Linked DNA regions of Caenorhabditis elegans. The protein of the gene in region 1 interacts with the protein of each later gene in a pairwise test. Each region holds a gene or a part of one and is shown in the gene's direction. Other genes may lie near its edges.

What was found. Proteins that work in one complex are often made in the same cells at the same time.
Region 2: the proteins of syp-6 (region 1) and sec-3 interact in a two-hybrid assay, tested with the Caenorhabditis elegans proteins (one large-scale study listed by BioGRID).

The regions. Positions count from the first base shown.
Region 1 is NC_003279.8:6,564,179-6,569,439, forward strand, and holds syp-6 (Thyroid receptor-interacting protein 11), read left to right. Parts: upstream 1-1,977; 5' UTR 1,978-1,994; coding exon 1,995-2,053; intron 2,054-2,098; coding exon 2,099-2,172; intron 2,173-2,218; coding exon 2,219-2,344; intron 2,345-2,391; coding exon 2,392-2,780; intron 2,781-2,823; coding exon 2,824-3,309; intron 3,310-3,353; coding exon 3,354-3,498; intron 3,499-3,647; coding exon 3,648-4,010; intron 4,011-4,053; coding exon 4,054-4,356; intron 4,357-4,401; coding exon 4,402-4,481; intron 4,482-4,528; coding exon 4,529-4,588; 3' UTR 4,589-4,715; downstream 4,716-5,261. Other genes in the region: bag-1 (BAG family molecular chaperone regulator 1), read right to left, coding at 1-67, 112-271; mei-2 (Meiotic spindle formation protein 2), read right to left, coding at 690-979, 1,027-1,179, 1,227-1,513, 1,560-1,672.
Region 2 is NC_003284.9:3,094,924-3,101,439, reverse strand, and holds sec-3 (Exocyst complex component 1), read left to right. Parts: upstream 1-1,587; 5' UTR 1,588-1,602; coding exon 1,603-1,732; intron 1,733-1,778; coding exon 1,779-1,906; intron 1,907-2,333; coding exon 2,334-2,432; intron 2,433-2,483; coding exon 2,484-2,861; intron 2,862-2,910; coding exon 2,911-3,083; intron 3,084-3,130; coding exon 3,131-3,302; intron 3,303-3,376; exon of another isoform or gene 3,377-3,512; intron 3,513-3,611; coding exon 3,612-3,858; intron 3,859-3,904; coding exon 3,905-4,259; intron 4,260-4,308; coding exon 4,309-4,435; intron 4,436-4,483; coding exon 4,484-4,745; intron 4,746-4,793; coding exon 4,794-4,918; intron 4,919-5,369; coding exon 5,370-5,468; intron 5,469-5,517; coding exon 5,518-5,769; 3' UTR 5,770-6,012; downstream 6,013-6,516. Other genes in the region: ztf-13 (C2H2-type domain-containing protein), read left to right, coding at 41-195, 242-359, 831-959.

The DNA.
Region 1 (5,261 bases):
ATTTTATCATTTTCTTTAAAATTTAAAGTAGAAAGGGAGACATCGTCGGCGCCTTGAAGAAACTTTCCTGTAAAATACTTTGTCTCATTATTCCAAAAAATCAGAAACAACCTCTGTGCAACAACTTCATGGTTTCAACATCAACATCATTGTCGGTGGCGATTCGATCGCGTAGCTGCCCAAGTGTCAAAATAGATTCGTCTTCTCCTTGATTTTCCTCAAGAATGTCGATTGTAGTTTGAACGGATGAACACGACACATTCACCTTCATTTCTGAAAATTGATTTTGAGACAGTTTTAGCAGTGGGAGAAGCCTCCGAGTGTCGATAAATAAGAAATTGGAACAAAATTATTGTTAACTTATTAGAAAATTAAGAAACTTCTAGAAATGACGAGAAGCTTATGCGAAAATCAGTTCCTCCACGAGGTGTACACATCGATTGCAATGGGGCGCACTCGCTCAGAGACTTCAGAGAAAAACGATTCCATAGACAATGAATCACCGTTTTCGTACGATACTGTGAGGGACATTAAATTAGCCCATTTTTGTTTTTAAGTCACAATACGAGAGCACATGATAGTTTTTATATTGGACATGTAAGAAACACAATGTATGAGCAATAAAATAAACAGTGAGTTGGGTGATAACCATCGGTTGAATAATAAGTATGCAATTATTTACAAGAAAATTACTTATGGCTGGAAACTTTTTTCAATCGCTCGAGAATGGCATCGAGTTTGTAAATTGTCTCCTGGTCAATCTGTTTGTAGATTTTGTCCCGATTTTTAACTATTTTGCGAAAATTGTGAATGCACTCTGTTGCTTTTGCAGCTCGCTCTTCAGCTACCACATCGACTCCAATTCGCCGAGTTTTGGTGGATGCAAATCCGATGATTGTGTCCAGTAAACTGTTGGTAATTGATGCAAGAGCCTTCAAGCAAGCCGATCGCTTCCCATAATTGTCGCTCGTGATATTTTCTGAATTACAAAACATTAGAATAAATTTATCAGGAAGCAAAACCAACCCATGATAAATGTTAAACAAGCATGGCACGAGTTGAGACACCAAGAGTTTCTACTATTCAGAATTCTAATGACTGTGGGAGCGAGTTGGTTGTCGTTTGACAATATCTGTTCCATGTTACTTGTGAAACTCTTCATCTTATAAACACGAAGATCTGAAAAGAAAACATAAACTGAAAAATCAAAACTCTGCAAATCCTACTTCTGCTCTCTCGCTTCGCACAAACACCGATTTTATTCACTTCCTCGGTGCATGCGGACCACAACGACGCGTTTGATGACATGACTGACACGGATGATTCTGGGGAGGATTTTGGCAAAGAACTGCTATGTTCTTCACCTCTCGAAACCGGGTTCCGAGACAATTCCTTCTTCGACTCGGAATGCAATGGACGTCTTGAGCGAGTATTTGTGAACTCGGGCAGATCGGCTTTCACAGTTCGAGAACTCCCGATGAAAGTGATGGGAACGTCCTTTTCCGCACCGCGTCTGAAAAAAATATAATCGCTTCAGATACTTTTTTCGTAGAACTCACCGACTCGAAGTAGATCTTGTATTTGGTCTGTTTTCAGCGGATTTCGGAATGTCGTTGAGAGGCTTCCTATTTTTTGCATGTGTTAGTTTTTTCCGGTCGTCAAGCCCTGACATCTGAAAAATTTCAAAATTTCAAATTTAAGAAGAGACAAACATTTTATAATTGGAAAAAAACACAAGATATCAAAATTAGACGAAAGAAAGGAACTAGTAAACAAGAAAAAACCGTTTTCCCGCATAAAAGAAATTCCCGCGTAATTCTTTGAAGTACTATCGTACCCCGCATGAGCGCTGCGGGACCCGAATAACATCTCATATGCGCCTTTAAAGTTTTTAATATAAAGCTGGATTTTTTAATCCTAAGTATTTACTTTTGCCTCATTCCAATGAATTCTTGAAACGATATATTTAATATTTAATTTAGTTCTTATAGTAAATGGCTCCAGTACTTGGTTTGTTGGAAAATGAAGCGAAAGTCAAGTCGATCATCAGAAAGTAAGTCACCAAAAAAAGAAACAGTTTATATTAATTTAATTTCAGCAATAACCTACTCGAAAAAAAGTTTTCGAGCTTTCAAAGACAGTGTAGAGACCTATCAAGAAACCATGCACTCCGTAGGCGATTTTCGTTCTTGGTTGCAAACGAATTACATTTTTTCAGTCGATTCGTGTTGTTCACAAGTCAAACATTCGGCAACAGCCGCAGAAGAAATGTCAGTCAGCGATAAAGATGTGAAAAATCACCAGAAGAAACTTCATTCATTTTTGGCACAGTCTACTGATCAAGGTATCATTTTCCTTTTAACTTTTAATATTTTAGTTTTCGTGTTTCAGTTAACTCCACGATTGATAAAATGGATTTTTTCTGTTCCAAGGGCAATCACTCTCTTCCGATGGAAATGTCAGTGCTTTCGATCACACTTCCATATGAAGCGTGTATTGAAAAATCTGCAAAAAAACACGAAACTATGGTTTTTTCCATTGATGAAGTTTCGAGTGCTGTTCAGCACCTGGAAAATGAAAAAGTCGATGTGGAAAAGCGTCAATCTTCAACAGGCAAACTTATATTTCAAACTGAAAAAGAAATTATGAAGCTAAAAGAAGAGATTCAAGTAAATACAAATCTCGAGTCAAATATTATTCAATTGTCTCTGGAGAAGCTTTCTTCAGTCAAAGACTCTTCTACGAGTGAAAATGTTTATAAAGCGAAACTGGAAGAGGAGGTATTTCTGTTTCATAAAAAAGGATGTAAAATTTATAATTTAGATAAACGAAGCCAGGCAAATATATGAAGACGCATTGAAACAGGATGTGATCAGCCAAGAATCAGCTATGATGACCCAGCAACTAGAATCTCTTAATGAGTTGTGCTCTGACCTCAGTGATCTTAACAAAATTAATCTTACATCTATCGAAAAGTTTCCTGATTGCAATGAGGTATGCGAGCTCTCCGATGAACTGCAAACTCTTGAAAAGTCTGAAGCTGAAAACTCAGAAAGTATAATAAATCTCGAGGCGTCGTTGGAAGATATTAAATATCAGAACAAGAAAGTCCGTAAGAGTTTTGATCAAATAAACCAATTGGAAAACGCATATATCGTTAAAAAAGAGGTTCTGACTCGGAAGAAATCTGCTATCGAGGACGTCAAGCGACAAATTGCTGAAAGCAAAATCACATTAAATAAATTGAAAGTGACTGTCCGTGCTGTGGAACGATCTGACACCCCAGAGAATGTGGAATCAAAGAAAGAAGTATTTATTCATTCAAATTCAGTATATTACAAGTCTTGTTTCAGGAGGCTTTTCGGCGTCTCGTGGCATCTAGCACTGAACTTCCCGGACCAGAGTCATTCCAGCGTGACAATGTTCGAAATGTGGAGAAATCATTGCGTTTTAAGAAGTGGAACCAAAGAACCACGTCGCAGTCGTCGTTCACTTCAGGTAAGATGTTTAATTGTTTTTATACCAATTTGATTACAACCACATGTTTACTTTTTTGAATAACAAAATACGACGCTTTCAAAGAAGTTTGCAAAGTTTTTTTAATAGACTTTGTGTCAAAGAAGAAATAAATTTATAATTATTTATAGTTTTAGATTCAACACGATCTATTGGACCGATTGGTGTGCATTATCCAGGGATAAAACTTATCAACAAAGACGCTGCAACGCCCACTGAAGTTATTCGGAAGATTACATCGGAGCTAAATGAATCTGCTACTTCTGAAGATTCAACATTCGATGACGATACAGGCACAACACAGGATGAGTCTGGATTGAATGCATTCTTTAATTCTCCGGTTAGCAAAGAACAAACTTCAATGCGTCCACAGTTTTCAATGATTGCTCATATGGAGAAGTATGATACAATGCAGGCCAAGAAAAACATGGATAAATTGCCTGATAATGTTCGCCGAGAAAGCGAAATGGAACACATTTCCCATAATTACGGCCGTAATAATAATTTTTACAGTACGAAAAATTCTGATTACTTCAGGTCCCTCTGAAGTTAACCGCCCGGCGAGTGTTTCATCTAAACGCCACGATCCGGCTGCAAGTATATCGGCAACATCGGAAGAGTCGATCCTATCTGGAACCACTCAGGATGAATCTATGCTCAATGATTTCTTCAATCCAACAGGCACCGACGAAAAACTTAACGACGTTGAGTTTTCCATGACTGCGCATGTGGCAGAATTCGATAACAGACAAAAAGCAAAAAGAGCTGCAGAGCAAATTAAGAAGAGTTCTTCAAAAATATCTGGCAAAAAAGAGGAATCAGTTGCAGATGATAAAAGTGGTTCTTGAATTCTGAATAAGCTTGACAATTTGCAACTATTTTCAGGCTCTGGCAACAGCTACGTAGCTGAAAGTGAAGCTGGCTTCTCACAAGGATCTGAGGAAAACGAATCCATGGATGATGAGGTTTGTGTCTCTTAATGGAATATTCATGAAACATTTATTGTTTTCAGGATTTGGTTGCTCCAGATGATGGCGGTCTAGATCAAACGATTTGGGATGGTGACGACTAAAACTTTCTACATTCTAATTTAATTCATACTTTTTTGTGTTCCTCTTATACGGAATTTTCGCGTAATCTTGTACTATTCCATCATGTTCCTATTGTTTGTGATCTGTTATAAGTTATAAATCATTGTTCTTTAATATTTCAATATTATTGCTGTCACTGTCAAAATGCTAATTAAATTTATCTTTAAAAATCAATTTAAATGTTTAAGTCCTGTAAATATTTATTAAACCGTCGAATTTCAGGAAAAATAACTGTTATAAAATTTATTTTACATGTTAACATGCATGTTAGAAAAGAAGAATTTTACATGTCAACATGCATGTTAGAAAAGAAGAGTACTTGAGAAATTACAAAAGTTTGTATGTATTTACTTGTTTCAATAGTTTTCATTTGTCTGTGGTCGTTGTCTCGCTGAAAAAGACGGGCGGTGCGAGAAAAAGGGTTTTATTTGGACACTAAACTCAATAAAGATACACTTTTTTGATTTCGCTCGCTAAAACTTTTCAATTTCAATACTTCACTTTTGCATCATTTTTCGTGCAGCTCTCTGCGTCTCCGCTTTCAAACACTTCTATTTTGGGTCAATTCTGTTTTTTTTCTTGTTCAGTTTCGAATCAATAGTTTAGCGCGGCTCCAAACATCTAGAAAATCCTTCAAGAAGAGAGCACGAGAAA
Region 2 (6,516 bases), on another chromosome or scaffold:
TTCTAAATTTGCAGTTTTTAAAGCAGAACTATTTTTTCAGCTGGAGTCTGCAGATCACGATGATTTTGTGTCGAGCATGAAAAATACATTTATTTACGGGAAATTCATAAAACGTTCGCCTTCGGAAAGCTACGTCCCCTCGGCGACCGTTTTTAAGACACTGACTTTCAGCACAATGCCGCCCCAAGTCAAATTGTAAGAACTACCAAATTTAGGTTTTTAACAATATTTTTCGTTTTAGCAAAAAATCGTCTCGACCGGTTCCACCTGGAAAAAGTCTTGGAGAAGTCGTCTCTAAAATGGCGGCAAGTCAGCCGCAGTACACTGTGCGATCTGCTCCGTACTCAAAGGGTCGAGCGGTAAGATTTTGATAAATGCATTAAGTTACTTGTCATGTCAGAAGGTACTACTACATATTGTATTATCACTATTAGACTTGCTCACCGATTGCTTCACGCTGACAGCTAATATCTCGATTTTCTTTAATTTTATCAAAACATTTTAACTGCGTAATTACGTAAAATAATTTTCAACATATTGACATTGTACTATTTTTGGTACAATTTAAGACAACCGAGATATAAGCTAGCAGGTCTAATAGGACAAGTTTCAGTAGTTACCAAGATTTAAAATACTTCCAAATTCGGATTGTCCAGCATATTTTGTGTGTTTTTTCTTTAGAATACAATAATTACTAATGGGGCTAATCAAGTAATGTCGCGAAATGTAACAAAATGTATTGAAATATACATATGTCCACATTTGTTTTATAAAAAAAAATTTAAAGGGGCGATAATACAATTTACTGTAAAAACTAATAAATAAATCAGATCATCAAAATCCCGACTTCAATTCGTAACCGCAACTACACACTTCCACCTGCAGGCCCACTTCCGCTGCGTCGCACTTTGATTACTACCAACTACACCATGTATCCAGTCAGAAACGCTGTTCAGTGATAATCTCATTTTGAAACTTACCCCCGATTTAATATAGCTACATGTCATTAATCATTTTCTTTTGTCTCACTTAAGTTTTCTGTTACTTTTTTTCTACTTTTAACTTATGCCTCAAGTCACTTCCAAATCAAAACCACGACCTTTTCAAACTCTCTGTTGTTTTTTTTCTGATCCGTGTAATATTATTTATTGTTTCTTTCTTTTTTACTTTTGCAGATTCTCCTAATTGAAAACTTTCAATTGTCATTTTTTTACGGTCCGTTTTAGGAATCGTGTTCTATTTAAATAATTGCCAAAAATAAATCTTTTCAGGTCAATCAATTCGTTTCAATTCTATTACTATATCTTTTGCAAGTGTAAAAATAAAACCAAATAAAATTATTTTTGCTTCCCTGCATTGCAATATAAATAGTGGTGTTCATCGAGAAACGCGCACGCTAACCGGCCACTGGCGTGTTTTTCGTGTACTAGTCACCACAGAAAACTGCAGAGACGCAGAATAACTCCGTATGTTTTTACTGGGCATAACTGTTTCCAATTCCCTGATTTTATTGTTTTCTTTTTTAATGCTTGGTTTAAGTTTAAAATTTTTATTATTCTACTTAATCAATGTGATTATATAAATTTTCAATTTCAGATTTGAATGTCTGCAATCAGGAAGATAATCCAGCGGCAACTTTTCCAGAAAGACGATGAAAGAATTCAAGCAATAGTCAATGTCTCAAAGTTGGATGGAAAAAAGAAGAAAAACCAGACACTACTATGTTTAGCAGGTAAGAATTCTTGGAATTGTCCTGTATAAAAATCGATAACTTGCAGTCACAATCGAGCACCCCATCGCCGTCCGTTTATACTTTGTGAAAGGGGAGAAAGATGATACATTCAAAAAGAAGGACAGGTTCAATTTGAGAGAAGTCAGAGAAATCGACGGAATAAATCCGAAAAAAGTGAGTATTTGAAAATTATATGGATTCACGCAATTTATACGATATATGTAGTGAGCAAATGTGAGCGTAACGAAGAACATAACGCAAAAAATGTGAAGCTTCTCGAATAACTGAGGATTTTCAAGTTTTACGAACACTAATGTTTGATGGAGTTTATCAACCTAAAATAGCTAAAAATTCGCCATTTTGCCGCAACTTTTCAACGATCTTTATCAATTGTAAAAATTGCAATTAGCTAAAGTTAGGTGAGAAGTTGTTGAAAGAATAGTTATTGTACACTAAATTTGTCGAAAAGATGATGCAAATTGCAGGAATTATTTTGACAAAATGGCTTATCAATTAGTTAAATTCGCATTTACTTCAAGTTTTTTTGGGTTTAAAAAAAATTGAGAATTTTATTCAACTGACAAACATTAAAAAAATTCAGGCATCACCAGAGTTCCACATCACTATCGGTGATCATCAATATGTGATTTTGGCTGGTTCCGCTGAGGAAAAGGACGAGTTCATTCGAGAACTCTACAAGGTATCCAACTATAATACTTTCAACTTTTTTACTGAAAATTTCGTATTTTAGTTGTCATGCCAATACCTTCCAGTCCAGATGCCAGATTTCTGCAATTTCTCTCTACCGCAACTTGAATCAGAAACCTCCATTATACCCATTGAGCTTCCTGAGCATGATATGGCGATGCAAAGTGATTATCAGCCAATATCCAACAAGGAGGACGCAGACTTTCGAAAGTTGATTGCGCGAGCTAATTTGACTATTGGTGAAGCACATATTTTTGCCGAAATGCTGACGGAGCAATTGCAATCTCTCGATGGAGCCAACATCAACTCTATGATGGACAGTGAGAATTCCGTAAACCAGTTGCTTTCGAGTATTGATGCAGCATTGACCGGTGTTGAGTCGGTCGAAAAAGAGCTTGATCGTTGTGATGACATTTTGGCGGTACTACATTGTAAAGGAATTTATTGAAATTTTAATCAACTATTTTCAGTTTGTGAGGAACAGTATCGAATTGATCGAAGAGAAAGATAGTTTATCGGTGGTTGAAAGAAAGAACAAGCAACGTCTCAACGAGGAAATCGTTTCATTTGTCAATTCGTTGCAGGCTGTTACTGATTCCCACATTGAGACTCTGAAACAAGCTAACTTCAGTAACCCAGAAAGGTAGAGTGAACAACTTAGAGTTTTCAAGTAATATTATGATACTTCAGTGTTCAAAGATGCACGGACGCTGCACGCGCTGTTGCACAATTCTGGCACGGGAGGATTTCTAAGCCAATGCTTCAAATGAAAGCCTATCAGGACAGAAATGATGAGCTTACCGCAGTGGATGTCTTTGTCGATAGGCTCATGTCTCACCTCTCTGCACTGTTCTCGAATTTGGTAAGTTTCAATGAACGTGTGCTTGCTTGCTCGAGGACCCCCTAAATTGTAGAAGTATTAGAGAATTCCGGAGGTCACGCTCTCGCTAAAGGACCCTCTGAATTTTTTGAAAATTTCAACCAAAATTCTCGAATTTCAGATATTTTACAGCGCATGCGAAGCTTTTTTTACATCACATACCATAATTTCACAATAGATTCACGTTAAAATGTGGAGTTTTTTCAATACATCTATTATAAATTTTAGAAGAATCCTGTAGCAAGCGCGCGCACTGTATAAAATCATTTTCAACGCGTGTTTTTTTTTCAGAACGACTTATCTTTGGATCATGAGTGGCATGAACTGTGTATTCCAAAACAGTCTCAACGCTTTCGCGCCCTTTCTCCACTCTCTGATCTTATCAACTGGCTGAAAACGAACCGTCCAAAGGCTTGCAATTTAGTCTTGCAAAAGTATATCGACAGCACGAATCTACTTTACAAACGTCTATTTGACAATTTCTTTGAGACACTGATCAACAAAGTTCCAAAAGCTAACAGTTCTGAAAAGAAGTCAAGTATGTTTGCTAATATTTGCAGCAAAAAATAATCATCTGATTTCAGAAGCAAATGAATCTGCAAACATTTCACTTCGTTCTGACAACCAGAGTTTCCTGAGCACCTCCAGTGAAATTGATACTGAAGTCTTACCGCAACTCATCGAAACGGTGCTGGCAGAACTGAGCGCTGTGATTGACGCAGAGCAAAAGTTCGTTGTCCGCTTCTTCCACATCAACTCGGAGCTGTTGGCTCAGTTCGATACGACTTCAACTGGAAGCGGTGATAGCTCAAGTCTCGGAGGACGTAGTATGGAGAAACATATGAACGAGCAAGTGAGACACGTTATGGGCAACTTGTTTGACTCGCTCAATATTCATCTTGATAGTTTCTGTCGGGCGGTTTGTAGGCACAATCCTAGGTGAGAAAAGGTACACGTACATATTATTTTAAATTCCTACACATTTTAGCAATGTTCTCCTTTTGTTTGTAATCATGTCGAAGAAAGTGCTTCTACCACAAGACCCAAGCTCCTATTTTTCGATCACATTTGGAAGTTTAGTTGTTCTGATAAAACGCCAGTTTGATGCATTTATTGTGAGTTCCATTTATATGTACTGTAATTGCAATAATCTTCTCTTCCAGCAAATGGAATGTTCCCAGTACTCGGAAGTTCGCATTGCTAAAAAGACTAGAATCGGAATTCTCCCATCAATTTTTCGCTTTGCAAACTTTGTGAGACGTGCTGAAATTATCTTTGAAAATGCCGAGAGAAGAACTGACTTGGAGAAGGCATATTTCAATCTTTGCCGGGCGGTTTGTGACGGGATACAAAAAGCTGCCGCCAATCAATACAGCAAGTCTCCGTCGTCTGTAGTCAAGTTTGAAAATTACCACGAGCTCTATTGTAAGTGTTCTAGGAAACAATAAAGTGTGATGGTGATAAATGTTTCAGTGACTTTGTCGGAGCTAAAAATCTCATGTTTGGATCAACAACGAAAAGATGCGAAAGCGCTCAAGGAAGAACATATTGATGCGTACGTAAAAGAGTTTATGGGTCGTCCACTCAAAGAGATTCAGGTGATATATAAATATGGAAATTTATGTTTCAATACTGTGCTGCCAATGCTTGAAAAAAAACTTGACTATTATGCTTTAAACTAGTTTTTTCTTTCTAATTTTGGCTTGTCATTCTACAACATTTGTAAAAAAAGGCACTCTACCATAGTTTAAAGTTGGAGTACCAAAATTTGAGGCTTTGCTATTTTAGACCCAACAATTCAGCGCATATACGCCCAATAAAAGACCAACAAATTTATTAAAGAGTGATCAATAAATAAAAATTAAGTTCCAGACGCTGCGACACCGAGAAGTTGTAAAAATTGTGATTTTAGCTGCAAAACCTTTTTTCCGACTTTGAACCTCCATAACTTTTTTTGAGGAATTTTCAAAACATCTCATTCGAATTTCGGTACTCCACCTTTAAACAAAAATCTCCCAAAACTATCGATATGTATTCCAAAAATTTCAGACGTTCTTCGACAATGTCAACAACTTTATCGAAACGCGTGGAATTCGTCCTGATGAAATCTCGTATCAACAACAATTCAGTCGCATTGAGCTTAAAAAGGTTGAATTTCTAGTTAATCATCAAAATCGCCATTTCATAAATTTTCCAGGTAATTTCACAACATCCGGGAAAAGAAGTGAAAAAAGGACTCGAGCAACTGTACAAGAAAATTGAGAAGAACCTGGTTGCCAATTCATCACTTTTGCAAGTTGTATGGAGAGATATGCAAGAGCAATTTGTCAAGCAAATTGCGGAATACAACAAACTGATTCTCACTTGTTACCCAGGCTCGAAGATTGAGCTCGAAGTTTCCACTGACACTGTACTTCAGTTCTTCTCAGAAATTGCTCAACAACACTAATATTACGACGAATAATTTTATTGAATTTTGTTGTTTTAATTCATTTAAAATTTAGTTTTAATTTATCAGAACTCTAATACTTACTGAACCATGCTTTGTAATATATTTATTTATCTATTCTGTAATAGGTGAACTTCGTTACATTACTGATGTCTGTAATATAAATTTACGGGTGTTCCCCATTCGAAAATAGTAGTAATGCTTGCTTTTTTGAAAAATAAATGTCTTGCTTGGTGACTTTTATTTCACGTATTTTCAAATGCTCACAAAAATTTCACGGAACTGACTTCTTGGTTACACATTTGTAGAAATTTTGACTGAATGTTTGCATTGAACTGGTCAACTTAAGAATCTGACATGCAAATGGTGTGTTTTCTGAAGAACACACTTTGGCAACTTTTAATAAAAAAGGGGTGTAACACGATTTAAATCTAATAAAAACAACTTCTATAATGTTATTCCGTTTATATCTCACTTTATGTTTTACATTTTACTCTTATATACATTTTTTGACTCATTTATACAGGGTGGTCCATAATTATGGACCACCCTGTACTTATATCTTATTTAAAACTATTTCATGTAAGAATTGTTTTAACAGCGCATTTTTTTTCATCACTCGATTTAAAGGTAAAATTGATAGGCCGCAATCTATTTTGGAAAACTTCAGAACAAAATTTAACATTTTAAGAGGTAACTGTGAAGGTTTATAAGAGAATTATAAACCGATCTAACCACTAAACATGG